Linked DNA regions of Oryctolagus cuniculus. Each later gene encodes a partner of the first gene's protein in a complex. Links are inferred from orthologs where the notes say so. Each region holds a gene or a part of one and is shown in the gene's direction. Other genes may lie near its edges.

Evidence for each region.
Region 2: MYBL1 (region 1) and TFDP1 share a complex: the UniProt entries of both Homo sapiens proteins name them as parts of the DREAM complex. The link is inferred for Oryctolagus cuniculus from reciprocal best matches to the Homo sapiens genes MYBL1 and TFDP1.
Region 3: MYBL1 (region 1) and LIN52 share a complex: the UniProt entries of both Homo sapiens proteins name them as parts of the DREAM complex. The link is inferred for Oryctolagus cuniculus from reciprocal best matches to the Homo sapiens genes MYBL1 and LIN52.
Region 4: MYBL1 (region 1) and TFDP2 share a complex: the UniProt entries of both Homo sapiens proteins name them as parts of the DREAM complex. The link is inferred for Oryctolagus cuniculus from reciprocal best matches to the Homo sapiens genes MYBL1 and TFDP2.
Region 5: MYBL1 (region 1) and LIN54 share a complex: the UniProt entries of both Homo sapiens proteins name them as parts of the DREAM complex. The link is inferred for Oryctolagus cuniculus from reciprocal best matches to the Homo sapiens genes MYBL1 and LIN54.
Region 6: MYBL1 (region 1) and RBL1 share a complex: the UniProt entries of both Homo sapiens proteins name them as parts of the DREAM complex. The link is inferred for Oryctolagus cuniculus from reciprocal best matches to the Homo sapiens genes MYBL1 and RBL1.
Region 7: MYBL1 (region 1) and LIN9 share a complex: the UniProt entries of both Homo sapiens proteins name them as parts of the DREAM complex. The link is inferred for Oryctolagus cuniculus from reciprocal best matches to the Homo sapiens genes MYBL1 and LIN9.

What each region holds. Positions count from the first base shown.
Region 1 is NC_091437.1:92,251,480-92,254,979, reverse strand, and holds part of MYBL1 (myb-related protein A), read left to right. Parts: intron 1-895; coding exon 896-1,067; intron 1,068-3,500. UniProt on the Homo sapiens protein: Transcription factor that specifically recognizes the sequence 5'-YAAC[GT]G-3'.
Region 2 is NC_091440.1:500,667-504,765, reverse strand, and holds the start of TFDP1 (transcription factor Dp-1), read left to right. Parts: upstream 1-1,299; 5' UTR 1,300-1,381; intron 1,382-1,392; exon of another isoform or gene 1,393-1,531; intron 1,532-1,727; exon of another isoform or gene 1,728-1,751; intron 1,752-2,124; exon of another isoform or gene 2,125-2,146; intron 2,147-2,361; 5' UTR 2,362-2,422; coding exon 2,423-2,434; intron 2,435-4,099. UniProt on the Homo sapiens protein: Can stimulate E2F-dependent transcription.
Region 3 is NC_091451.1:20,268,162-20,271,661, forward strand, and holds part of LIN52 (protein lin-52 homolog), read left to right. Parts: intron 1-957; coding exon 958-1,024; intron 1,025-2,888; coding exon 2,889-2,972; intron 2,973-3,500.
Region 4 is NC_091435.1:139,892,016-139,895,515, forward strand, and holds part of TFDP2 (transcription factor Dp-2), read left to right. Parts: intron 1-293; coding exon 294-440; intron 441-2,953; coding exon 2,954-3,022; intron 3,023-3,500. UniProt on the Homo sapiens protein: Can stimulate E2F-dependent transcription.
Region 5 is NC_091439.1:82,838,234-82,842,322, forward strand, and holds the start of LIN54 (protein lin-54 homolog), read left to right. Parts: upstream 1-1,289; 5' UTR 1,290-1,400; coding exon 1,401-1,467; intron 1,468-2,613; exon of another isoform or gene 2,614-2,726; intron 2,727-3,032; exon of another isoform or gene 3,033-3,166; intron 3,167-4,089. Other genes in the region: uncharacterized protein, read right to left, coding at 65-166, 269-923, 1,044-1,289. UniProt on the Homo sapiens protein: Component of the DREAM complex, a multiprotein complex that can both act as a transcription activator or repressor depending on the context. In G0 phase, the complex binds to more than 800 promoters and is required for repression of E2F target genes.
Region 6 is NC_091442.1:21,409,143-21,413,427, forward strand, and holds the start of RBL1 (retinoblastoma-like protein 1), read left to right. Parts: upstream 1-1,485; 5' UTR 1,486-1,791; coding exon 1,792-1,947; intron 1,948-4,285. UniProt on the Homo sapiens protein: Key regulator of entry into cell division. Directly involved in heterochromatin formation by maintaining overall chromatin structure and, in particular, that of constitutive heterochromatin by stabilizing histone methylation.
Region 7 is NC_091444.1:39,131,860-39,135,359, forward strand, and holds part of LIN9 (protein lin-9 homolog), read left to right. Parts: intron 1-346; coding exon 347-480; intron 481-1,741; coding exon 1,742-1,867; intron 1,868-3,500. UniProt on the Homo sapiens protein: Acts as a tumor suppressor. Inhibits DNA synthesis. Its ability to inhibit oncogenic transformation is mediated through its association with RB1. Plays a role in the expression of genes required for the G1/S transition.

The sequences.
Region 1 (3,500 bases):
CTTGGGTCATCTTGCACTACCCTCCCAGGCCATAGCAGGGAGCTGGATTGGAAGTGGAATAGTCAAGACTCGAACAGCACCCATACATGATGGGGGCACTGCAGGTGGCAGCTTTACCAGCTACGCCACAGCGCTGGCCACCCCCACATTCTTTTTTCTTTTTCTTTTTTTGACAGGCAGAGTTAGACAGTAAGAGAGAGAGAGACAGAGAGAAAGATCTTCCTTCTGCTGTTTCAACCCCCAAATGGCTGCCACGGCCGGCGCGCTGCACCGATCCGAAGCCAGGAGCCAGGTGCTTCCTCCTGGTCTCCCATGCGGGTGCAGAGCCCAAGGATTTGGGCCATTCTCCACTGCCTTCCTGGGCCACAACAGAGAGCCGGACTGAAAGAGGAGCAACTGGGACTAGAACTCGGTGTGCCAGCGCCACAGGCGGAGGATTAGCCAAGTGAGCTGTGGCGCCAGCTACCCCCACATTCTTAATATGACTCATTCTTATTGTCATTTAGATCTTAGCTTTGCTGTCATCTCACAGAGGCCTTCCTACACCACCAAGCCAAAATTACGCATTTCCCACTTTTCTTATCCTACTTTATTTCTTTTGTACTGATATTTTTATTTATTTGTTTTTCTGTTCTTCTGTTCATGCTGCCACATTTCCAATGAGAATGTAAGCTTCATGGAAGTAGGGCCCTTCTTTGTCTTATTCCCTGCAATATCTCTGTTGCTCAGAACTACTGATATATGGGCATGCAGTTTATCTTTAGAACTTTTTAAAAAAAATCTACTTTGATCAGTTGTAGCAGTTTGTTTTTATACTTTGTACAAGAAATACAGTATTAAAATGTGTGGAATAAATTTTATTTTTTGTTCTAAATTATACACTTTAATTTCTTAGGACTGATAATTCTATCAAAAATCATTGGAATTCTACTATGCGAAGAAAAGTGGAACAGGAGGGATACTTACAAGATGGAGTAAAATCAGAACGATCATCTAAACTTCAACACAAACCTTGTGCGACCATGGACCATTTGCAAACCCAGAATCAGTTTTACATACCTGTTCAGGCACATATTTTTAATACCTTTATTATTCAAAAATTTTTCTTTAGTTGCATTTAGGAAGGTATTTGATTTATTAATAGGACAAGTACAACATATATTAAGCAGGGGATAACCATTTAAATTTCTAAACTGAAATAAAATGTCTGATTAGATCCTAACTTAGATAAGTATTTTGGGAAAAAAATCATTAACATTTCCTTTTATATGTAATTTTTACATTAGGCAACTGAGTATGTATGTTTCCTACCACTCTTATTCTTTCAATCTTTGTTTATGATTCAGAACTAATGATCATATGCTTTAATAGATACTATAGTTTTCATTTAAATTTTTTGTGTGATTGTAGTATTGCTTGTCTGTTAGAGGTATGTGTATATAAAATAGCTTAAAGAAGAAAATAGTCAAAAATCATTCAAATCATCATTTTGGGGGTTAAATAATTATTCTTAATGACTTTCAGATTTGATGATGTCAGTCTTTTATTAGACAAATTTATTGAAGTGGAGATTATCTAAGCTCCAAATGGGGCAAGCTGTATTTGGCTCCTTACAGTGCATTTTCTTACTTGTATGAAATTAGTTTACCAGTATCCATGAAGTTTGTTTTATGTTTTTCTAATCAACTTGTCTGTCATGTCATTTAAATTTTTTTATTTAATTGGAGAGACAGAGAGAAGGAAGAGAGACAGGCAGAGAGAGATGCCACCCGCTGATTCGCTCCCCAAATGTTTGCCACAGCTGGGCTGGGCCAGGCCCATGCCAGAAGCCAGGAACTCAGTCTGGGTATCCTATGTTACTGTTCTCCCCTTCCAGGGTGTGTATTAGCAGGAAGTTGGAATCAAAAGTGGAGCTGGGATTCAAATCCAGGGACTACCATATGGGACGTGGGTGTCCCAAGTGGTTTCTCAACTGCTGTGCCAAATGCCCACCCCTGTTACATCACTTTTCCCAAGGAGCAATTCTCAGTTCTTATAATGTAAAATGTAAAGATTAAGCCAGAACTTAATAACATTTATTGAAAGATAGAATTGAACAAGGTGATAAAAATCTGTACTTACTGTGCCTTTGTTCTTATTTTGTATCTTGTAGTCTTTATTAAGTTTATTAGGCTTAGTTTTATTTAAAAATTTTTATTTCTTTTTGTTTTATTTGAAAGGCAGACAGACAAAGAGACAAGACAGACACTTTTTGTCTGTTACGTCAGCCCTCACATGCCTTTAGCAGGGCTGGGCCAGGCCAAAGCTAAGAGCCAGGAACTTCATCTGGGTCTCTCACATGGGTGGCAGGGATTGGTACTTGAACCTCTTACCAGCTGCCTCCCAGGATGTACATTAGCTGGAAGCTGGGGTGGAAGCAGGATAGCTAGGTTAAATAGACTTTCCAGTATGAGACGCTGGTGTCCCACGTGGCAACTTAATTGCTGCACCAGACTTCTGCCCCTAGGCGTAAATTTTAAAAGAATCACTTAGAGTAATGACATTGTAGTTTACAAAAGGAAAGCATGTGAAGATAGTGTAGTTATCTGCTGATACTCAGTACCTTGAGATTTTTATTGCCTGTTTCTTTACATTTTTTTAAGAGTTCTAGATTTCAGTAATATAAACTAAAACATTTTGCTTATGCCTTAGAAGTTATCATTTAAATTTATTTTCTTAAAATCATAAAAAGATAATTTTAAAAATTATTTGGGCAATAGGAGCATTTAAAAGTCTTAATCAGGCTGGCACCACGGCTCACTTGGCTAATCCTCTGCCTGTGGCACCGGCACCCCGGGTTCTAGTCCCGGTTGGGGTGCCAGATTCTGTCCCAGTTGCTCTTCTTCCAGTCCAACTCTATGCTGTGGCCCGGGAGTGCAGTGGAGGATGGCCCAAGTGCATGGGCTCTGCACCCGCATGGGAGACCAGGAGGAAGCACCTGACTCCTGGCTTCAGATCGGCACAGTGTGCCGGCCGTAGCAGCCATTTGGGGAGTGAACCAACAGAAAGGAAGATCTTTCTCTCTGTCTCTCTCTCACTAGCTCTGCCTGTCCCAAAAAAAAAAAAAAAAAAAAAAAAGTCTTAATCAAAAGATGTTGCAAAGATAGCATTTCTCATACTTTAATAATTGTTTCCCTTATTTTTAATAATTTTAGAAAGTTTTATGTATTCCCTGTCAATTATCTTAAACTACCAAGAAGACAATTCTGTAGTAAAGTGTAACTTAAAAAAAATAGATTGGATTGAAATATTATCAGATTTTCATGAAAAATTTGAGGAATATAAGTTTCTGTTAGAAGTTGTATAGAATGATTCTGCATAAGATAGTGGTTTAGGTAGGTTGTTATGGATAGTAGACAGATGTTTTCATACTTACATTTATTTGATTTTAAGGGTTTTTAAAAATCTTTTGTTAAAGATTTATTTATTTATTTGAAAGATAAGAGTTACAGAGATATGGA
Region 2 (4,099 bases), on another chromosome or scaffold:
GTGCGAGACAGAGATCTTCAGTCTGCCCACAACAGCCAGGGCTGGGCCAGGCAGAAGCCAGGAACCAAGAACTCCATCCAGGTCCCCCATGTGGTGGCAGAGACCCAGGTACTTGAGCCATCACCTGCTGCCTCCAAGGGTGCAGATTAGGGGTCAGAGGCAGAGCTGGGCCTTGAAGCCCTGTGGGGTTCAGGTGACATGATCAGTGTCCTCATCCCTGGGCCAAACACCGCTCCCCCCAGCCCCATCAACCTTCTCTAAGGACCTACTGTGTGCTAACCAGACAGGAAGGTTTCTGCCACAAAGAAACCGAACTGCTGGCACAGAGGACAGGCTGCCAGGGTGGGGCTCTCCTGGGCAGGAGTGGGTGCAGTGGGTGTGGATGGGGTGGGACTTGGAGGTGTGCAGAGGGGTGCAGGGTGGGAGAGCCCTTGTTATGGCTGTGTGGGACTCCGTGCAGCCTGGGCTCGGGACCGGCCTCCACAGCCTGCCGCCAGCCCTAGGTGACAGCTGTGTCTGCAGGGCAGGGCCCAGTTCCACTCTCCGTGGAAAGGCTGCCTGCCCTGGCGCCCAGGAGGTGTGGAGTCGCTGGGACTCTGTGAGGAAGCCGCCGGGATGCGGAGCAGGGCTGGAGACCTCCCCTCCCCTCCCCTCCCTGCCCAGACACCTGCGCCAGCTCAGCGCCTGCCTCCACCCCTGCATCCATGCAAACCAACGCGCCCAGGACCCTGGTCTGTGCGGCACCCTCGCGCTTGGCTTGCCTCCATCTGCTACTCCTCCACGTGCACACTTGCACCTGACCCCTTCTCCTCCCTGTGCACACGCACTGGTGTACACAGCAGCCCCAGCCCCATGCACACAGGCGAGCACACAACTGGCCCCCTTTTCCATGCACACAGCAAGTGCTCTTGGCCTCCTGCCCTGCAGGTGCCTCCTCTCCACCCCCTACACCCATGTCTCGCCTCCAGCTCTGCCCCCCACCCCGGCCCCCTTGCAGCTCTGTGTGCGCACACACAGCTTGGGTCTCCTCCCACAGTCTCGCTCCGTGCATACACACACACACACACACACACACACACACACTCATGCGCGCACACACGTGGCCCCTCTGACCCGCGCGCGCATCCCTAGCGCCGGCTGGCTCCATCCCGTCCGGCGCACGCGCAGGCTCGAACACGCGCGCACGGCCCTCCCCTCCCCCAGGGCGGCAGCGCCGGCGGGAGGAGCGGGAGCAGGAGGGGCGGAGGAGGAGGAGGGCGCCGAGGAGGAGGAGGGCTCCGAAGGCGCGAAAATGCGCGCAGGCGCGCTGCGCGGAGCGGGCCCGCCGCCGCCCACGTCACCGCGCCGCGCGCACGTCACGCCGGCCCGACGCTCGGCCAGGGTGAGCCCCGCGTCCCGGCGCCGCTGGCCCAGGGCAGGGACCCCGCCAGGGCCGGGAGCGCCGCCCGGCCCCCGCCGCCCGCCCGCGCCCCGCGGCCGTGTCCCCGCGCGGCCCGCGCCCCAGACTGCGCGGCCATACCGGGCGAGCCAGGTGCGGGCGGCGGAGGATGCGGTGGGAGCCGGCGCGACGGGGCCGGGCGAGCGCGGGGCGCGGGCCACGCGGGGCGCGGGCGGGCGGCGGCCCCCGAGCTGCGTCCCCGCCGCGTGCGGGCGCCGCGCGGCCCCGGCCCTCCCGCGCCCTCCGGGCCCCGCGCGCTCCTGGGCGCCGGGGCCCCGCGCCAGGCGCCCTTGCTGCGGGCGGGGGCTCCCAGGTGACCGGGCGGGGCGGGCGGGGGTACGGGGCCTGGCCTCCGGGGCCGATGGCCGCGCCCGCGCCTTGGGGGTCGGGGTCGGGGTCGGGGCCGGGCCGCGCGGGGCGGGGCGGGAGGCGCCGCGGGGCTGGAGTGCGCGCGGTGGCTGCGGCCTAGTGACAGATCGCAGCGGGCGGGGACCCGAGAGCCCACCTGTCAGAGTTACCGGTCGGCGGCCGAGCAGCCCGGCGCGCAGCCCCTGGAGGGTCCGGGGGAAGACCTGGGAACTTGCACGTTTGGGCTGTGCCCTGTTGGGTGGTCGTGTGCGCCTAAGTGGGGGACCCAAGCCCACCCTGCGGAGGCGGGCAGCGCGCCCCGGGCTCACCGCGGTCTCGCCTCCGGACCGGCCATTTGGGGTGCGCGGGGCGGGGGGGTTCCGGGCTGCTCGCGGGGTCTGAGGGTGGCGAGCGCTGCGAGAGCCTTGCGTCCAGGCTCTAGCGAGAAATCTCAGCCGCCAGGCCCTCGTGCAGGCGGGGGAGACGTCTCCTTTAAAGTGGGACATCTTGTAAACTTAGTTTTTCATCCTTGCTCATTTTTCTTTTTTCTCTCTCTTTTTTTTTTTTTTAACCAGAAAAGTCTTTTCTTCCTTGGAGAGTGAATGTTGATAGCATTGGTTTCCTGGACCTGGTAACATGGCAAAAGATGTGAGTACCTTTGCTTAATGCTCAAACACCTGTGCCTGGCACCAGCCCCTCCTGTTTGTGCCTTTGTCAGAGGGGCAAAACCTGAGTTATTAGTATTTCCTGGCTTTTTAAGAGAGGTTGGTTTGTTTATTTGGAAGGGTGAGAGACAGAGGGAGAGCTTCCATTAGCCGGTTCACTCCCCAGATGGCCATATGGCCACATAGCCACATCTGGGTCGGGCCAAAGCCAACAGTTTCATCTGGGTCTCCCAGCCTGATGACAGAGGCCCAGGCAGTTGGGCCATCTTCTGCCCTCCCAGGCGCATTAGCAGGAAGCTGGAGCAGAAGCAGAGCAGCCGGGACTTGAACTGGTGCTCCTATGGGATGCTGGCATTGCAGGTGCCCACTGAACCCTCTGCGTGCCACAATACCATCCCCTTCTCGGTAACTTTTTAAAGTTGGGTGGAGAAATAGGCTCTTAGGTCCAAGAATGAACTGAGTTTCCCATCATGCCGTCAGATTCCCTGAAACGCGGGGTCTTTGCACACTGGTGCAGACGGGCTGCGTGCTCGTCTCCTGCATAGAGCTGGAAGCAGGCTGGTCCTGCTGCCTCTGTGCGCGACTGCAGGTTGGGTGGCTTTGGAGCGCCTTCTGTCAGCTCAGATTTCCCGAACTTCCTGAGCCGCGTCCTCTGTCTGTGCCGGTCAGGGGCTCCCTGTCCTCGGATGCAGGCCTGCGCAGGGAGGCGCGCAGCCCTCCGGGCGCTGTGTGCAGGGTTTTGGTTTGATGTTCATTTTAAAACTGCTGTCATTTGGTTGGTGCCATCACTCCTGGAGGTGCCAACATGTGGCAGGTGCCCCGAAGCAGCTGGACTCCCACAGTTGCCCAGAAAGGGTGGTGCCAGACCCATGCCCAGCCGCATGCTTCTGGTTTCTGGACCAGTTTGCTCTCGTCTCTTTAAATGCTTAGATACTCACTGATGTCATCTTCGAAGCCCTTTGTGGTTCCACGTTGGTGTGGCTGGCACCGTCTGTGTGGCACGGAGAGAGGCGTGGGAGGGAAGGACAGACAGGTGCTGGAGGAGGGGGACCCCGCCACCCCAGCAAGGTCGCCGGGCCAGGGCACGGGCTGTGCTGGCCCCCTAGCTGGTCATCGTTGCATTTGAAGGACTCGGAGTGTGTGCTGTTGGGAGGTGGCAGGGTCTCACGGGCTGAGGAGTGGCTGTGGGGCAGACTGGCAAGGTGGCCTCCGTGTTCTACAGACAAGGGCTGTGCTGGTCCCGTGGCTGGTGACGCTGCTTTCTTGTCATCCACGTGCTCTTAGGCGGTGGCAGGGTCTCACGGGCTGAGATGCAGCTGGCAGGGCAGAATGGCAGGGTGGCCTCCGTGTTCTGCAGACAAGAAGTCAGGGTGTCGGGGACAAGCTGGAAATGGAGGCTGTGGGCAGGTGATGCTGGAGGGTGGATGGGCGACCAGCAAGGGTGAGGGCCCGTGGGGGGCCAGTGGCTGTGTTGTGCACAGGTTGCCTGATGAGGTTGTTGCAGAGTGGGCCCTCTGGTGTGAATTGAGGGGCCCAGAGCCCGCTGGGGGCCCCTAAGCTAGTTTTTGGTGCCCCCTGCTCATCTCATGCGGTGATTTCTGCGGTCATGAGCAGCTTCTGATCGCACAGGCCTCTGTGTGGCCTCTGG
Region 3 (3,500 bases), on another chromosome or scaffold:
AACAGATGCAAGATCTTTTTCTTTGTAACTCTGGCTTTCAAATAAACACATAATTAAAAAAAAATCTTATTCAGCATCTACATCTTTACCTTAGAGTTGTGCACGTACATATTATTTTGTTTCTAGGGTCCCAAGGACATTCCAGGATGCCAAGTTAAGATCTCCTAGGATAATCTTTCCCCATAAGGGGTAAAATGGTGAATTTGACTTAGAGCCTTCTAAGCCAGGCAGTGTAGACTACTCATAGTGGTTTCTAGATTCAGATTACCTGAACCTAGAAATCCTTTTAAATCCTGGCTCTTCTAGCTATGTGACATGAAGCATCATCCCTGTTCTTGGTTTTTCTCAATTGTAAAATAAGGATAATGCCTACTTGGTTAGGTTGATTTGGTTGTAAATAACATGGTGCATGTAAAGTCTTTTGTTTGGCACGAGTTGGTGCTGCTGAGTAATTGTAATTCTGTAAGAGAGATGGACCCAAAGCTGAAATTACACTTCTCAGTCCATTGGAAAATGCGTATGTGGAATCCCTCGTCCAGCTCTTTCCAGGAGATCCTCTTGAGAACCTGATATTGGAAATCAGTACGTCTGGGATACAGCCAAAGCATTTATGTATTTTTTAAAATTACATAGGTGATTCTCGAGTGCAACTGAGATTGAAAACTGCTGATCCAAAGCTGTTCTTACAAGCAAGTTAGTGTATGCCTAGAATAATAGTGTTAGTGGTCACACCTAATTCTGCTAAGATCATTTCTCCAAGACCAACTTTAAAGATAAAAAGAATTATTCTGTAAGGTGACTATTTGTAGATCATATCAACCTGGATAAACTGAAGACAATGTTTTCAGACAACCTGAAGGTTGTATGTGTGACCAGCTACATTTCCTAAAGGAAGGAAAAGGCGGTCTCATCACGCTGTGTACCTGTCTGAATGGTTATATTCTTATTTTCTGACAGCCTATTACTAGCTCCCCACCCAAATGGATGGCTGAAATAGAACGTGATGATATTGACATGTTGAAAGGTAAGCAACACCATTTATGTTCCTCTACAAATCACCTTTGCTATTGTTTTTTCACTATTTCCTTACAAGTATGAAGATACTTCAAAAAATTCATGGAAAAATGGAATTAAAAATGAGTGTATTTTAGTGCAAAAAATATTGAAATCCAAGATTTGTTACAATTGAAATTAAGTTCATTTTTTATTTTATAAAATCTAAGATTTGTTAGAAAGAATTAAAATTTTAAAGTTCATCTTTTATTTTAAGTCTAGTCTCTTTCCACTATAACACAAGTCCCTTATTTAGGATTGACCGTCATGTGCTGTTGTCAGTTCCTTACCTTAGTGAGTTAAAACCTACCTTTATTTCTTTCTGGCCCATCAATTTCTTCCATACAGAATACCATAAGTAGTGAATGCTGTTGTTTGATAAATGATTTGGAACTTATTCACAAAGTAGAAGTTTAAATTAAAAAACATTAATTTTCCTTGATTTTCCTGTACTTTATTTATTTTTCATCATCCTTCTGGTGATAAGATTCATGATGGTTGTGAAATAATAGACTGAAATTAAAGTGAGAACCCAGGATTCTTGAACTATTTAAGCAGCTGAACAGATCAGGAAGGCTTGCTTATGCCAGATATAGATAATGACTGCAGCATGATAAATGGGAGAAAAAAACCTTTATTTGATTTCAGAAGTAATTCATTGTTCTGTGTGAAATGCTGAAACGTAGATCCCTTCCTCTACCCATGGAAAAATTAAGTTTCAAGGACATCTAAAAGGTTCATTGTTCTAATGTGTGAAATAGTATTTATATAACACCCTATCAGTGTGTATTTCCTAGAGAAACTTTAAATTTTTCGTTAAGGGTAATACCAGTATGTTTCATTTAAATTGACTTGTGTCTTAAACTTAAAAAGAATTAAGTGTTATTTAAATGAAAATCTGGGGAGGTAAGTTGTTATTTTAGGTATACTCTCTGAAGGGAAAATATGTATTTATATTTAGGCTTTGTTTTCTAAACTCATGGAAATGGGGAATAGTAAGCATATTGTTGCTGTTTTATTGTTATTGAAATAATTGTGACTTATAAATGACAAAGGATATAGTGTATATTGACAGGATAATATATAATGACAAGATATAATTTTGCAAGATAGAGATCTGTCAGCAAGGCTTTCTCAATGCTATGTCAAGTCATACAAAGTTTTATATTTTAATGATACACTCATTTTGTGTAATAGACTAAATGAATGGAATAAAAGGCTCTTTAGGGTAAAACACTTCATTTATTATTGTACTTGTGCTTTCCTTATTAAGTGGGTAAGCTCATCTGAGACACTCTGCAATAGTGTAAAAATTCACTGATTTTGTGTGTATGTATGTGCGTATAAGATTGGAGAAAGTGTAAGAACCCATTTTCTACTTATTCAATAGAAATTAAGCTTGAAGGCAGACATTTATGTAGTAGTTAACATGCTGCTTGGCATATCCACATTCTGTATTAGAGTCCAAGGTTCAAATTCTGGCTCCAGCTTCTTGCCAGGATGCACACTGTGGGGACAGTGTGTGGTATCTCAAGTATGTGAGCCCCTGCTACCCATGTGGGAAGTACAGATTGAGTTCTCAGTCCCCAGCTTAGGCCTGACCCAACCACAGCCGTTGCAGGTGTTTGGGGAATGAACTAGCAAATGGGAGATTTCTCTCTCTCTCCCTTTCTGCCTCAAATAAATAAATAAGTAAATCAGTAAATAAATATTTAAGGAACCCATTTTTAAAAAGTAAAAAAAAAATTAAGCTTGAAAAATATTCCCAACCCAAATGAAATATTACTAGAAGATAGTAGGAAGAAATAGTATTGAAATAAATGATTCTGTTTCAGAACTGGGAAGCCTCACCACGGCTAATTTGATGGAGAAGGTACGAGGCCTACAGAACCTGGCCTATCAGCTGGGACTGGATGAGTGTGAGTACCCAGATCCCATTTATTCAGGGCTATATGTTGCACATTCCAGGATGAGTTCTAGTTATAATTCAGAAAATGTCTTTATTAAATAAAGGAAAGTGTTCTGAAGGTAAGAAGTCAATGTAATTTAAAGTCTATCTTTTATGATAAGTATGCTGGAATAATAACTGGACTTACTAGACACTATGTCTCACTGCAGTACGTTTTAAGCAATAGAATGTTGACACAGATGAGCTCAAACAGAAGAGAGACTTTATTATTTCTTAGTTTGCATAGTTTTAAAGTCCAGGGACAGAAATAGGCCTGAGGCTGTAGATCCATGACTTACTGATACGAGTGGGTGTGCTTTTGTTCGTCTTAAAGCTTTGCCTCACTTGTGCGTGAGTCACATTCTTTGCTGCTGCAGGTAGCTTTTTCCTGGCACTGAGGAAAGAACTGCAGTTTATGTGTCTTTAAATATAATGATTCCAAAGGAAACAAAGAATGTCTTTTTCTGAGTATTCCCTCCCCACCCCAAAAAAACAGTTC
Region 4 (3,500 bases), on another chromosome or scaffold:
GGCAGTGGAGGATGGCCCAAGTGCTTGGGTGCCTGCACCCACATGGGAGACCAGGAGGAAGCACCTGGCTCCTGGCTTCAGATCGGCGCAGCGCGCTGGCCTGTAGCAGCCATTTGGGGGATGAACCAACGGAAGGAAGACCTTTCTCTCTGTCTCTCTCTCTCTCACTGTCTGTAACTCTACCTGTCCAAAAAAAAAAAAAAAAGTATCTGAATATTATTAATTTAATATGTTGATATCATGTGACTGTATTTTAACCATAACATTTATCACTCAATAAAAATGTTTTTTAGCAGGCTTACGATCAGAAGAACATTAGGCGAAGAGTTTATGATGCTTTAAATGTGCTAATGGCGATGAACATAATTTCAAAGGAAAAAAAAGAAATTAAGTGGCTCGGGCTGCCCACCAACTCTGCCCAGGAGTGTCAGAACCTGGAGGTGAGCGAGCAGGCCCCCGCCTGTTTGTGGGTGATTGCTTGCATTATTTTACATCGGATACATTTTAGTTTAGACATATAATCACATAAAATTGAAATAGTCGCAGTTCTTAAATATGACATCATTTTTCCAATGGACTCTCACTTTAGAATTCGGAACTGGAAGGAACAGTAGCAGTATACTCAGCAGTCTTGTCAGTGATGACACTAAGGGATAGGAAAGTTAAATGACTTAAAGTGATTCTTGCTGTTTCTTAGAGAAGGTCTTTTTTTTTTTTATTCTAATTCTGAGTACTCTACTAATTTTGGTGAACTGTGTACTAGAAATACCACCTTAATTTTATGAAAGGCTTGCTGTGTGGATCAGAAGAAAAGGATCAAGCCGCATGTTTATTTCTGTGTTCCTCTAAAGGTAGCTGTGAAAGCTAACCTTTCACCCTTGGCTCTGAAATCAGTAGCAACAGAATGGTATTTCATTTGTGTCTTTATCAGGATGGACAGTGTTCAACGTAAAGGAACTTTGGAGTAATGTGGGCAAAACATCTTTAGTTCTGCTAACCTTGCCCATTGTAGAAATTCATCCCTAAGTGAGCATGTCCCCTGACATATTGTTTCTAAATCTGTTTATTGTCGTGAATTGGAGTAAACTAAGCTTAAATTTGGGTTTTAGAGATAATTAAGGTTGACTTTTTTTTTTTTTTTTTTTTTTTTTTTTGGTCTTTCTCATTCCCTTTCCCCGGGGAGAAGCCAGGCTCTCATCGAAAGTTGTAGAATAACGTTATTCACACACTGGAGTGACAAGGCCCTTCTTTTTATTCCTCCTAACATAGTAGAATTTGAACATAACTTTCGTATCAGTAACGTTCTGCTGAATCCAGAGGCTCAGCAGGTGAAGATCCGTCATTGTGCACCTCGTGCTCAGCCCCAGGTTCCACCCCAGGACCTGTCGCTGTGCTTTTAGAGAGGAGTGTCCGAGAGTTCCCAGAGTGTGGTTACTCCTAGGAAAGAGGCTACAGGGGAGTAACCCCTGTGCCGGGTCACGAGGGAGGGGCAGGAGTGGAGGGTGCCCATGGAGAAGGGGAGGCGCTGGGTGGTGTAGGACAGGCCTTGACAGCCCAGGCCATGTCTGGCCGAGAGTGGGCGTGGAGAAGGGTCAGATTTTCAGTGCTGGGCAGGGTGGCCCTGATGCCGTAATGTTGGGAAACGGTTGGTAATAGGATGTTTTACAGGACGTGTCTCAGTGTGGGCTGGAGGTGAAGTTAAAGGGAGATGGGGAAAGAGAAGGGGCAGGGAGGAAGCCAGTGGCTGGTCGGGGTTAGGGCAGTGTCAGTGGGGTTAGAGGCAGGGACAGTGCGGCTTGGCCTGGCTGGATGTGGGCGGGTGGAGGCTTGGCCTGGATGAACTCCCGCACGATGTTCTTCAAGGGTGGACAGCCTGAGATTTCACAGTGAAGCTTGGTGTTAAGGTGGTGAGGGGGAGCATGGGCAGAAGTTCCTAAGTAGGTGGGGAACAAGTAAGAAGCAATCTGGGGGGTAGACCCCCAAAAAGATGTTATTTGATATCTCAAAAGACAGAATTTCAGCAAATTTAGTTAAGATTTGAATTGGAATTTTTTTTCCCCCTGGGGATTCCAGGGTTGGGCAGCACCCTGTTCTGTAAAACACAGTAACTGCTGTGGTGAGCTGGCAGAGCAGGCTGGCCGTACGGGCAAAACAGGGCTGAAGAGATGCAAGGCAGAGCGGTGTGGGTCGGCCCTTCTCACGGGAAGCACAGGGGCCCTGTCAGGCCCACTGGAACCGGCCTGTCCAGGGCAGCTCTTACCTCCCCCTCTTCTGGTCTCCCCGAGAGTCAAAGTAACGCTGTGGTCTGGGCTCAGTGCCCAGACGTTAGCGCCAGGGACTCCACTGTGGTGGGGTCTTTTGGGCCTGGTGCAGGAGCTCAGTCGAAACCAATGACCTCCTGTAGATTTTACTTGACAGAAGGCTTTGACGTCTGCTCAGGAAAGACATCAACTGCAAGGAACTTCAGACCCCTTCTGGTTGCTTTCTAGGTCATTGTAGAATAGAGAAAGAACGCTAGTTGCTTCCAGCTGGGAAGTGTGCCATGCGTGTTTCTCACTGCACACAGGACTTTGTGTTGCACATGTGTGGTGACGAGGTTAGCAGTCCCACTCATTGGGGGCTCAAGTAGGCCACGATCGGCGAGATCTTGCCTCATTCCTGGGGTAGTGTGACCGCATGAGCTGAGTGCTGGCTGCTTTGACTAGAACGTGAGTGATAACGGCAACAGGTACTACCAGCCAAGTGTTCAGCGAACACTTGAATTTCATTTCTAAAGACAGTTGCCATATTTCTACTGGGGTGCCTGCTTTCTCATCCCAAATCCACGTCCCTAAAGATGGGTAAAATGGGTTGCGTTTCTCTAAGGAAAATTCTTGCTGTGTCAGAAATAGGGACGTGAAAAGTGAGCAGTCCTTTATGCTCTCCCCGGGTCTGTGTTTTGTAACCTTTACAGATAGAGAAGCAAAGGCGGATAGAGCGGATAAAACAGAAGCGGGCCCAGCTGCAGGAGCTCCTCCTACAGGTAAAGATGCCGGGTTTGTGTTTTCCTTACCCGCCCTGCCTGTCCGGCTGCTTCTCCACCTACGTGGGTTCAGAGTGGCTGATCTCTGACTGTGGTCTTCGCTAGTGTCTGGGGGACCACACCAGGGCGCCCGCCTCCTCCCCTTGCTGCCTGCATCCTGCTCTCTGCCTTTGTGGTGGCCTCATCTCTGCCCCTCCCTCCAGTGGCACTGTAGGTGGCACTGCACTTCGGACCTTATCCTCACTCCAAACGTAAACCAAAGTTCAGGGGTCTTTTTCTGTTTATCTTCGCCCTGGTTTGGAATATAAAATGGTAAGGCTACTTTAATTGTATGTACTTTAAGTAAAATAATCAAATCTACCTGTAGTACTTAAGGTTCAAAAAGATTTATAAAAAGAACAAAACTTAAAATGCATTTCTGCTTAAGAAAAGCCTTATAGGGGCCGGCGCTGTGACGCAGCGGGTTAACACCCTGGCC
Region 5 (4,089 bases), on another chromosome or scaffold:
GTCCTCTGTGCTCCAATGGCAATTACATACTGTTGCACACCATGTTACATTTACATTCTTTTACCTTTTCTATTGCTGTGTAGTCTCGTCTCAAACACCGAGCATTTATTAACTGAGTGGTCTTTCACAGCCTGTTTTTCCGACTTCACATTCGGATGTCTTGTAACTAGTGGGGATAATAATAGAAAAGATGACTAAATACAAAGAAATTTGACTCCGTTAGTCTTAGCTGTATACAGTATTGCAAAAAAGGCAAGAAGTCCCTTACAAAATAAGTTTAATTCTGCGTGGTTTCCCAGGGGCTTTTTAGCGACTCCTGCAAAAGCAGTACCTATAAAACCAAGAGATTCGGCTTTTGTGCCGAATCGCCGCCTTAGGAGCACATCAAACAGGGAGGATGCTGGAGGACGCACCTCCAGCATGGACTTCCTAACAAGGGAAGCGAGGCGAGAAGGCGGCCTCTGCCAACTGCTGGCGCGATCCGGGATCACCGTCCCCCACCCCCGGCTCGGCGAGATGGAACATTCCGTGCGAAAGCTTTGACAAGGCGCCCAGTCGGAGTCACGTGGAGCCGGAGCGTACTCACGGAGCCTTGCGGAATGACGCGGCTCGGGTTGCCAAGGGGCGGGGCCAGGCGCCGCGGAAGGGGCGGGGCGAAGGAAGCCGGCCCGGGGAGCTAAGCGAGGCGGGGCAGGGCGGGCGGAGTGGAGGGGCGGGCAGAGAGGGGCGCGCGGGCGGGGAGGGCCCGGCGTATTATGGGATGCGGCGGTGGAATGGCGCTGGGCGCGTGATTTTGAACAAACCCGGGTCTGTGCCTCGGAGGCGCCGCCGCCGCCGCGGCTGCTGGGAGCCCAGGGAGCGCGGCGCAAGGAGGAGGCGGCGGCGCCGCCGGCTTTGGTGAGTGTCAGCCCCTGAGATGGGGGCTACCGGGCGGGCGGGAAAGGGGGAGCCAGTCTCCGCTGCGAATGGCAGCGCGGGCGGAGGGCGCCGAACCGCTCCCCCCCGGGAGCCTGGGCGGCGGGGCAGTGGCGGAGAGCGGGCACCTGCCGCCTGGGGGCCGCCGCGCCCCATCCCCGGGCCGCAGGGGGCGGACGATCCTCAGGGCACGGCCCCTTCCCGCCGGCCCCCGGGAGGGCGGCTGTCACTCGGCAGGGCCAACGCCGTGCCGGCCGCCCTGCCCGGCTGACTGGAGGAAGGACTCCTACGGCTGTGGACAGGCGCACAGCGCGGTCCGAGAAGCCGGCCGTGTGGGCCCCGGTGTCAGGGAACCGGTTTTGCTGCTGTGTCATTTGGTATCAGCCCCTCCTTTGCCTGCTGCCCGCCGCCGCCTTCTTCCTACGCCCCTTTGTATGGACTCTTCTTCGTGTGCGTCCGTTTTCCTCGCGAAGCCCACCAGCTAAATGTCACAGTGTTCCCGCGGTGCACGGGGGAAGGGAGCGGGCTGGGGCTCAGCTTGGCCACGCAACGGTAAACAGCCCAGCAGGGTGCGGGTGGACCGGGCTGTCGGTGGGTTGGTGAAGTTTAAGGATGAGGGAATTGGGAACACTTTAGACTCGGAGCGCCGAGCAGGCTGCACAGGAAAGCGGGGGTTGGAGCGGCTGGAGGATAGCACTTGTTTACGCCTGGAGCCGCCGACTTTTGTATGGAGTTGCCTTTCACACAAGGTGGAAATAAATGGCTTTTTCCACTTCCACCTTCCTCTCCTCAGACTAACTTTTCAAAAAAGGCACTGAGAGTGGCTGTATTCGCAACCTTGAAGTTCAATTTGCTTGTTTTACGTAGGTCCTTTAGAGCTTATGGCGTGGTTTAGTGGTATAGAATTTATCTTTTGAAGGGGTGATCTTTCTGAAATTAACAATGGTAACTGATTTTTTTCCAAATGCTGATTTCATCAGAAGCTTTGCAGCTAATGTTTTTCTTCTTAGGTGATTAGAAAATATGTATGTTCTCCTTTAATTGCTTATTAAACTGAATGATGACAGGAACTGGTGGGAGTATGGGGCAACTGGGGTCTTATTCTAAAGCAAACTGTTTATTTTCACTGTATTGAACAAAACAGCAGCGGCAGATGGTTTTTCAATTTGATGACTTAGATCCTAAAAACATTTGGCAAGAAATTTTAGCTTAGAGCTATATTTTCCGTATTTTGGAAATTGATCGTGAATGTTTCCACAATTGGATCAGTACATTTCAAATCCAGTCGCACTTTGAAGTCCGGTCGTCACAGTGTTCGTGGACAGAAGTGACCAGATTAAAGTTGAGTGGAGAGGGAAACAGTTCGGATCCTGGGTTTTAACTGGTGGCTTGTTTTTGACCGCCTACCTGGCTGAGGGTCGGTGCCTGTAGTTTAGGAAAGTGTCAGAGAGGTCAGGGCTAGCATATGGAAATCGCTCGTCCTGTCAAAGTAGTTCTGCGGTTAGAGTAATACGTCAAAGTTGGTGAGTGACATTCACGGTGCGGACAATGTTTGTAGCGTCTGAGATGGACGCCGCGAAAGAAGCCCACGCCTCCACCTCCCTCAAGTTGGTTTCGTGAAAATGAGGGAGTTTGGGCTCTTTATTGTCCCGGTGCCGCCTTCTGCTGGGCTGCCTTTGCACACAAGCCTATGCCGGACTTGGGACCCGCCGGGAGAGCGACTTCCTCTGGCGCCGCGGCGGGGCCGCCGGGCTCGGCGTGTGGTTCGGGGGTGAAAGGTTGGCGTGGCCCGTGAGCACTTGTTCCTCCGGGTGCGTTTGAAGGTTGGCGGGGCCGGCGGGAGGCTTCCCCGGATATGTGGGTGTGCGCCTCTCGGGAGGGGCGGGCCGGGGCGGGGACGGGGAGGCGGGGGGCCGGCTGCTGGCGGCGGCGGCGGCGGCCCGGGCTCGGGCTGCCGGGGAAGCTGCTGAGCTGTGATGGTGATGACGAGGTGAAAATGGCGGATCTTTCGAAATACAATCCCGGCCCCTGACATACCAGAGGCGGCGGCCGCGGCGACGTCGCCGCCCGGGCTCGCTCCCCGGCCCCCGGGTACCCTGCAGCGCTCCAGTCTGGGCCAACTGGGGAAGGAGGCGGCCGGCCGGAGCTACCGTGTCAGGCAAACAAGCACCGCCCGGGCTCGGGATTGCCCGGGACCTTCTGGAGCCCCCACCTCGGAGCCCGAGGGAGGAGAGAGCGGCCGCCGCTGGAGGTAGAGGAGGCTGGGGGTACCCCGAGGGCTCCTCTGGGTAGAGATCGCTGCGTTTCGAGGGGTGCCGGCGGGTGGGGGAAGAATTGCGTTGTGGATCGAGGCATGACTTGCCCGGAGTGCAAAGAAGCAGTAGCCTCGTCATGACATCAACATTATTCTTTGAGGGTGAAGAGGGCTCGAGTTTGCTCTTACACCTCAGGCGCTGCTGAGGCCTAGAGGAACCGCTAGCACTTACCATGATTTCCTGATGTGATACTGAAAATATCCACTCTGCCGGGTGTTGGTTGGGTGGTGTTCACCAGTTTAGGGGGTTGTATGTTTCTTTCGGGAGGCAGAGCATTGGCATTTTATTCTGCATTTAAGGTCTTGGATCACAACCTATAACTTGTTGGGGTGTTGGATGCTCACAGTTTTTGATCATAAGCACCACTATGAAGCCATTACCAATGTTATTTTTTTTCTTTCATGGCTCTGTCATCCATCAAGTGACCCCTTTGCCCCTGCCATTTGGCTGATAACAATTGAGATACTGTTAGTGATATTTTATAACCTTTGCTTTTCAGAGAAGTTCTTCTCTGCCCTCACCCCCTGCCCCCCCACCCCCAGTCCAATTTCTTGAATCCAGATAGTTAAGTTGTGAAGATTTTGCTGTGGATACAATCCAAGTGAAATACAGCTCTGGGAGCTCTATTTTGGTCATGAGTTTTACCTTCATTGTTAAGAAGGAGAGTTGTGATGGCTTGCTGCCAGCATTTGATATGAGGTTGTTAAGTCGGTAAAGATAAATTGAGATTTCTGTTACATTCTAAATGCTGGATTTATCAGTCCTTTGTTTAGAGAGCAGGAGAATTGGATTGATTTTTATGATGGCCATACTGTGATTTTGGTAGATCATCTAAAGATCCATGTATGTTTCGGTTGTG
Region 6 (4,285 bases), on another chromosome or scaffold:
GGTGCAGGAGCCCAAGTACTTGGGCCATCGTCCACTACTTCCCCAGGAGCATTAACAGGAAACTGGATCAGAAGAGGAGCAGCTGGGACACCAACCAGTGCCCATATGGGATGCCAGTGTCGCAGGCATCAACTTTACCCACTACACCACAATGACACACCTCTGTACTAGAGAAGCATTACTGAGCAAAATGGAGAAAGGTAGTTGGAGATAGTGTCACAGGTTAGGGTGGGAATGGAGATTTTCCACCATCCCTGATACCAGGCGTAACAGGTGCTTTACCTGCCTCTTTCCAAACCCTGCTCAGGAGCAGAGGAAAGGGATGAGACATTTGGAGAGTGGAGCCAGGAGCTTCATCCGGGTCTCCCTCGTGGGTGCAGGGGCCCAAGGACTTAAGTCATCTTCCGCTGCTTTCCAAGATCCAGCCAGCCCCGGGATCTCCATGCCTCTAATCTCTATCCCAGACAATCCATGTATCATACTGCAGCCGCGGTACCTGTCCAAAATGCAGAGATCACACCACCAACCTGGGTTAAAACCTCACCCGTCTCCTGTTGCTTTCCTAGGCACATTCCTAGGGAGCTGGATTGGAAGTGGAGCACCCGAGTCTTGAAGGGAGCCCACGTGGAAGGCCAGCATCACAGATGGCAACGTGGCACGATGCTAACCCCTACTGAAAGATGTCAAGTGAAGGAGTGACGGGCTCAGATTACCTTGGAAAAGGATCTCTCTGGCTTCAGGTTAAGTTCAAGCCATTCCTATGCTTGAAATCACTGTATTGACTGGGAAAGTTCCAGAATCCAGGGAGCTGAAAAGTCCTCACAGACACCTCCTTTAGTAACATGCCATGGGGTTGGGGGTCAAGGAGAGACAGGCCACTGGCACCGTGGTTGACGCTGGGCCCGCGTTCTATATTGGAGTGCCTGACTTTAGTTCTGACTTCCGCTTCGGGCCAGTGCAGACCCTGGGAGGCAGCGGTGGTGGCTGAAGTACTTGAGGTCCTGCCACTTGTTAGGTTTTTAGCACTGTAGGGTTCAAAGGAAGTGAGAAGGCCAGTTAAAGTACAGCAGACTTTATTTTAGGAGGGATAGATTGAAGGGGAGTAAAGACAGTAGGGGTTGGGCCTGCATGGACAGAGAGGCACGGGTCTTCCCATTCGGTCACTCAGCAGAGCACTCTGGGCGCTGGGGACATAAGGGGACCTCTGAGGCGGCCATCGGCCATCAAGGGCCCACTTTTCGTTTTCCGCCTCCGGCCGAGGCTCTGTCAGACGACCTAGAACAGAAAAAAAACAAAACAAAACAAAACAAAACAAAACAACAAGGCCCACGGCCTGGCGGTTGGCGGGGGTCTTCCCACTACCAAAAACCAGGCCTCGTCGCATTCACACAGCGGCGGGAACCGGGGCGGCACAGCGGCGGGAACCGGGGTGGCACCGCGGCCGTCCAGGGGTGGGGGCGCCTACAACTCCCGGCAGCCTCCGCGCGCGGGCGGCCGAAACCTACGCTCCCGCACTGGCCCTGCCCGCTGGGGCCACGAGTCTGCCGAGGACCAAGGTCGGGTGTTTACAGGACCCGAGATCCGTCCTGTTGTCACATACCCGGAGAGGGACAGCTGGGAGCTCCGGAGGAAAAAAAGGTTTTTTTTTTTTTTTTTTTGCGGAGTAAAGCGGGACGGCACTCGTTCGCTCCCGATTTTCGCGCGCTTTGGCGCGGGTGGTTGTGGGTAGCGCGCCCGGAGGGAGAAAGGCGCGGGGGTATCTGCGGCGCGCCGCCCGCGGGGCCTGAGGGGATGTTCGAGGACGAACCCCACGCCGAGGGCGCGGCGGTGGTCGCCGCGGCCGGGGCGGCGCTGCAGGCCCTGTGCCAGGAGCTGAACCTGGACGAAGGGAGCGCGGCCGAAGCCCTGGACGACTTCGCCACCATCCGGGGCAACTACAGCTTAGAGGTGAGCGGCGGCAGGTGGGCGGCCGGACGACCCTCGCCGGGCCCCTCCCCGCCCCGCCCCTACCCCAGCCTATGGGGTGGTGGGAGCTTCCCCGGCGAGCAGGGTCGCTGCCCAGCCGGGCGCAGAGGAGTGCAGAGACGGGTGGGTGGAGAGGAGCCGACCCACCCATGTTCGTGCGGCGGGAAACGGAAGCCCAGAACCGGAGCGGCTTGGCCGAGACCCCGCGCCACTCAGGGGTCTCCGGAGCCCAGACCTTGCCTCCTCCCCATGCAGTGCGGCTTACGTTCTGGTACTGAAGTGTAGCGGTGGGAAAGCGCCAATGAATTGCGTGCTAAGGCACCACTGCTCAGCGCTTCGAACCTGCCCTGGGATCCCCGTTCCCTGGAAGGGGAAGCGAAGCCCCCAGAGAGGTCAGGCTCCTTGCCCGAGGTCTCAGGGTTAGCGAGGAGTCGGAGCCATTGAACCTGCCCAGCTTCTGCCTCCCCCCGGGGTGGAGGTGTGCCTCGCTTATTCTGAACACGGGATGGTACCGTAGTTTGGTCAAAGGCGGTTCACACCCAAAGCTTATCTCTCAGCGCCAGGTTCTACCATCAGTTCTTAATCCGGATGTTTAGCCCTGCCTGTAGTACAGCCCCACGTGCAGAACACTGTCATTGCTCCCTAAACAACACCGCAAAACAGTTATTTGCATAACATTTAGGATGTATAGGTATTATAAGTAACCTAGGGATAATTTAAAGTATACTGGTAGATATGGATAAATTATATACAAATACTACACTTTATAAGAGAGAGTTGAGGCACAGGTCTTAGGTACAGCAGTTAGGACACCACTCGGGAAACCCACATCCTGTATCAGAATACCAGGATTTGAGTCCCTACTCTGTTTTCAATTCCAGATTCCTGCTGATTGACACCCTAGGATTCAGCAGGTGAAGACTCAAGTACTTGAGTTCCTACCACCCACATGGGAGCCCCTGATGGAGTTCTAGGCTCTTGGCTTCAGCCTGGCCTGGTGTCAGCCAGGTCCAGCCCCAGCTGGGGAGCGTATCAGTGGCTGAAAAATCTCTTTTTGTCTCTCTTTCAAATAAATAAATAATTAATTTTTTCCAGAAAAAAGGACTTGAGCATTATTGGTTTTTTTTCTCTGCTGGGGTCCTGGAACCAGTTCCCTACAGATAGCCTGGGACAGCTGTATTTCAGCATATCCACACCATTTCAGTGGCCTTCTGTTCAAAGGCTTTCATGAACCAAGAGGGCTGGATTTACAAGGTGCTCCACTGACTCACCATCTTGTGGGGTCAAAGCATAGAGCTGGAAATTTGAAGTTGACCATGGGAAGCCAGGAGCTTCATCCAGGTTCTCCTACGTAGGTGGCAGGGACCCAAATACCTAGGCCATCTGCTGCTGCTTTCCCAGGCCATTAGCTTGGGGCAGGATCACTGTGAGCAGGCCATGAATCAGTGTCTGTATAGGTTGCCTGCAATGCAGGTGGTGGCTTTATGCACTATGCCACGATGCTGGCCCCAACCTACCCCTTTTAATTATTGCAAGAAATACTTATCAATCTTTTATGCTTCTGGAGTGTAGTGTTAAAGAAGATTTGTAGAACAGTAAGAGGAGCATTGTATTACATTTTGGGATCGGTTTATGTAATTCTTTTTTTTTTTTTTTTTTTTTTTTTTTGACAGGCAGAGTTAGATAGTGAGAGAGACAGAGAGAAAGGTCTTCCTTTCATTGGTTCACCCCCCAAATGGCTGCTACACTGCACCCATCCGAAGCCAGGAGCCAGGTGCTTCCTCCTGGTCTCCCATGCAGGTGCAGGGCCCAAGCACTTGGGCCATGCTCCACTGCCCTCCCAGGTCACAGCAGAGAGCTGGACTGGAAGAGGAGCAACTGGGACTAGAACCCGGCACCCATATGGGATGCCGGCGCCGCAAGTGGAGGATTAGCCAGTGAGCCACGGCGCCGGCCCCATCTGTAATTCTTAATCATTAAGTGTAACCTGTATTTCAGAAATGAAGTCATAAAGTGGTTTTAGCTTAGAGATATCTTAGATCTAAAGGAGAAAATTAATGTCGAACTCCCTAATGCCACCTTTTTTGTAGCTTTTTACAGAGATATCTTCTAAGATATAAAACCATAGTTACAAAGATAACGTTTGGTTAAATGATTCCCCAGATTTTTACCTCACAAAAATAATGCATTATTAAGATAAGTATTTGTTGTGTGGGACTCCCTTGCCCATTTTCTGCTCTGTTTTGGCCTTTTTCTGCCATACTAGTAAAAAGAAACTAAAGTGGTAGAAAAGAACCAGTGTCATAAAGGCCACATGGGA
Region 7 (3,500 bases), on another chromosome or scaffold:
TCCTGTGAAGGCACACCCTGGAAGGCAGCAGGTGATAACTCGGGTACTTGAGTCTCTGACACCCATGAGGGTGAGTTGAGCTGAGTTCTTGACTCTTGACTCCAGCCATTGTGGACATTAGGGGAGTGAACCAGCAGATGAGAATTCTGTCTCTCCCACTCTCTCCATATCTTTACTTCCTCAGGTAAGTAAACGAAATTACTAGAATGTTTATTTGTTAAGCAATAACAAAAAATTCCATGTTGAATCGTTGTGAGTAATTATCAGTTTACAGATATACTCAATGTTAAAAATGTTCATTTTTACTTGCTGGAACTGTTATTAATCTCTGTTTTTTATTGCATAGAAATTTACAGCGACAATGTCAACACCAGATAAGAAAGCATCACAGAAGATTGGTTTCCGATTACGTAACCTCCTCAAGCTTCCCAAAGCTCATAAATGGTGCATATATGAGTGGTTCTATTCAAATATAGATAAGTATGTATCATGGCTATTACTTGGACTAGAAATTTAAGTTTCTCAAATGTTATAAGCTACAACTTTTTTAATAGGTCTAATTTGATCCTTTTTCTCCTTGAGTCTGTTTTCCTATTTCTTCTTTCCAGTTCAGTTTGTTTTTATTTCTCATGTTTTTCTTCCTTCCCCTTTTTAGGGAAGAAGCTATATATTTTTGTGAAAAATTAAATGAAAGCATACTTTATATATTATAATTTATAAAGACTATGGAGATAACCTAAGCAGAACACCTTAACTTGCAAAGAATGAGATTTTTTTTGGAAATCTTGAAATTTTATGTCCTAGTATAAGAGTGGAGAAATTGTTATTCATGGTAAAGATAACTCAAGAATTTTAGGAGAGTATTCTTTCTAGTTTGAGGATAGTACTTAATTAAGCACTTTATAAATGTGTAAGTAGAACATAGTAAAAAATTTGGCTGCAATCCAGTTATTCAACAACAGAATTTACTGAGGAAACATTCTGATTTGTAATCCGTATTCATATGCCCATCACTGGGGCTTACTTTGCTGGCTATTTAGCTTTACTTCTTTTCTCTGCTTTCCAAACCAGTTGCCTCCTCTAAAGCTTGTGAATCTCATGAATATTCATATTTCAGTCCAAAGCATTTATGTATCATTGCTAAGACTGGGTCCTGGTTTCCCAAACTCATGAATAGAGGTTTTTTGTTCTTGTCCACAGGTTTTCTGTAGGTTTTCTGTAGAGCTTTCAACATGTCCTTGTGTGATCTGAGATTCACAAAAACTAATCCAAACCTCTAGAGTCCTCCAGTGTTCTAAACTTGGCTTAGTCCTAAAGAGAACTCCTTGGTGATGGTATTACCTTTGGGACAAAGATACTTTGTTGTTAACATTACTTCTCTTTACAGACGTAATGCCAAGGCCAGGATAGCCTCCCAAAGGATGTTCTTAAGTAGCAGATTGAACAAAAATCAGTGTCTCCTGGAATCTCTAGCACAAACAGCATTTCCTGAGTTACTTTCATACATAGTTTCACAAATGCCAAAGATTAGTTTAGTTTTAACGCTTTGAATTGGTGCCTTTCTATATATATATATATATATATACACACATATATATATCATATATATAGTGTAAGTAAAAATTTGGCATTTTTGGATTAGCACAATAGAGAAAATTGGAGTGCATATTTTGAATTTTATGTCTTTTAAGAACATAAGACATTGTACATTAACCATTAAAATACCATGTCTGTTTTACAGACCACTTTTTGAAGGTGATAATGACTTCTGTGTATGTCTAAAGGAATCTTTTCCTAATCTGAAAACAAGAAAGTTAACAAGAGTAGAATGGGGAAAAATCAGGAGGCTTATGGGAAAACCACGGAGGTAATAATGTTTGTTTAAAATTGATTAATAGTTGATAGTATCATTGCTACATTGATTTTCTTATCTTCAAAATGACTAGTACCAAAACATAACTTTTAGAATACTTGATTATATGTTAAATATATCCTGTTAACCAACTGTATTATAGGTGCTTTTTGTTCTTATGCATCATATCATTAAAGGTGTAATTTGATTTTTTGTTCAGCTCACAGGTTTTGAACATAATTATATTCTAAATTATTCATTCTATTTTCCGAAAAATATTTAGTAATATCTTAACACGTATTTAAGGAGGCTATATAAGGTTATCTGTGTATTGTTAATGTCTCTTGTGAAAACCTTTATTGCCTCAAGAGCCTGTTTCACGTTCTATAAAAATAGAAACTAAGTTAATCTATCCAATATGTTAACTTTCCAAGAATTACTCTTTGTGTGAAATGACTTCCTATTCCAGTGTTATCTTTGTAGCATATCGGAAAGCCTGTGTTACTTGTGAGTAGAAATTTGAGCTATATTAGAATAAGATCATTAGGCCGGCCCCACGGCTCACTAGGCTAATCCTCTGCCTAGCGGCGCCGGCACACCGGGTTCTAGTCCCGGTTGGGGCGCCGGATTCTGTCCCGGTTGCCCCTCTTCCAGGCCAGCTCTCTGCTGTGGCCAGGGAGTGCAGTGGAGGATGGCCCAGGTGCTTGGGCCCTGCGCCCCATGGGAGACCAGGAAAAAGCACCTGGCTCCTGGCTCCTGCCATCGGATCAGCGCGGTGCGCCGGCCGCGGCGGCCATTGGAGGGTGAACCAACGGCAAAGGAAGACCTTTCTCTCTGTCTCTCTCTCTCACTGTCCACTCTGCCTGTCAAAAAAAAAAAAAAAAAAAAAGAATAAGATCATTAGTTCTCACATTGTCTGTCTGCCAAGAAAAAGCACGTGCAAGACTTTTTCGTTTTAAGTGATAGGAATGGTCAAAGAAGGCCTAGAAATATAAAGTGATTTGGAGAAGGAGAAATGGAATTTAATTTTAATGATCCCTATTGCATGGGGAACATCCGGCCTATGGGTCCTGTGAGGCCTGTGAAATCATTTGGTCTGGCCTTACAAAGGCTACTGTAGGTGGGACTCAAAATTCAATAAATCTTAAGTAAATAAGTAATTTTTTTTAAAAAAGGAATGAACAATTGATACATACAACCAGGTAGAATTCAGAAAACTTAATGCTTAATGAAAGAAGCCTTACAAAATAGTATATACTAGATGATTCCATATATATAAACTTTCAGAAGATAGAAACTATACTGAGAGAAAACAACTTAGTGGTTGCTTGAGAAAAGAGGTATAAGAAAGGAAGCAATATAAAAGAAAATGCACAAGAAACTTGTGGATGTGTTCATGTGTTCACTGTGTTGTGAGGGATTTTATAATTTATATATAATACGCATATATCAAAATTTACCAAATAGTACACTTTAAACATATATAATTAAATGCTGATTATACTTCAAAATGTTAACAAACAGAAATTTCAAAACAGAATTGAGGAAAGTGAGTACAAGAGAGGAAATGGTAATTTTGGTATTCAAGGAAGCAAACATTTGGAATTGTCAACTGTAGGAGGATAGTATGAGTCCTTTGTTCTTAAAT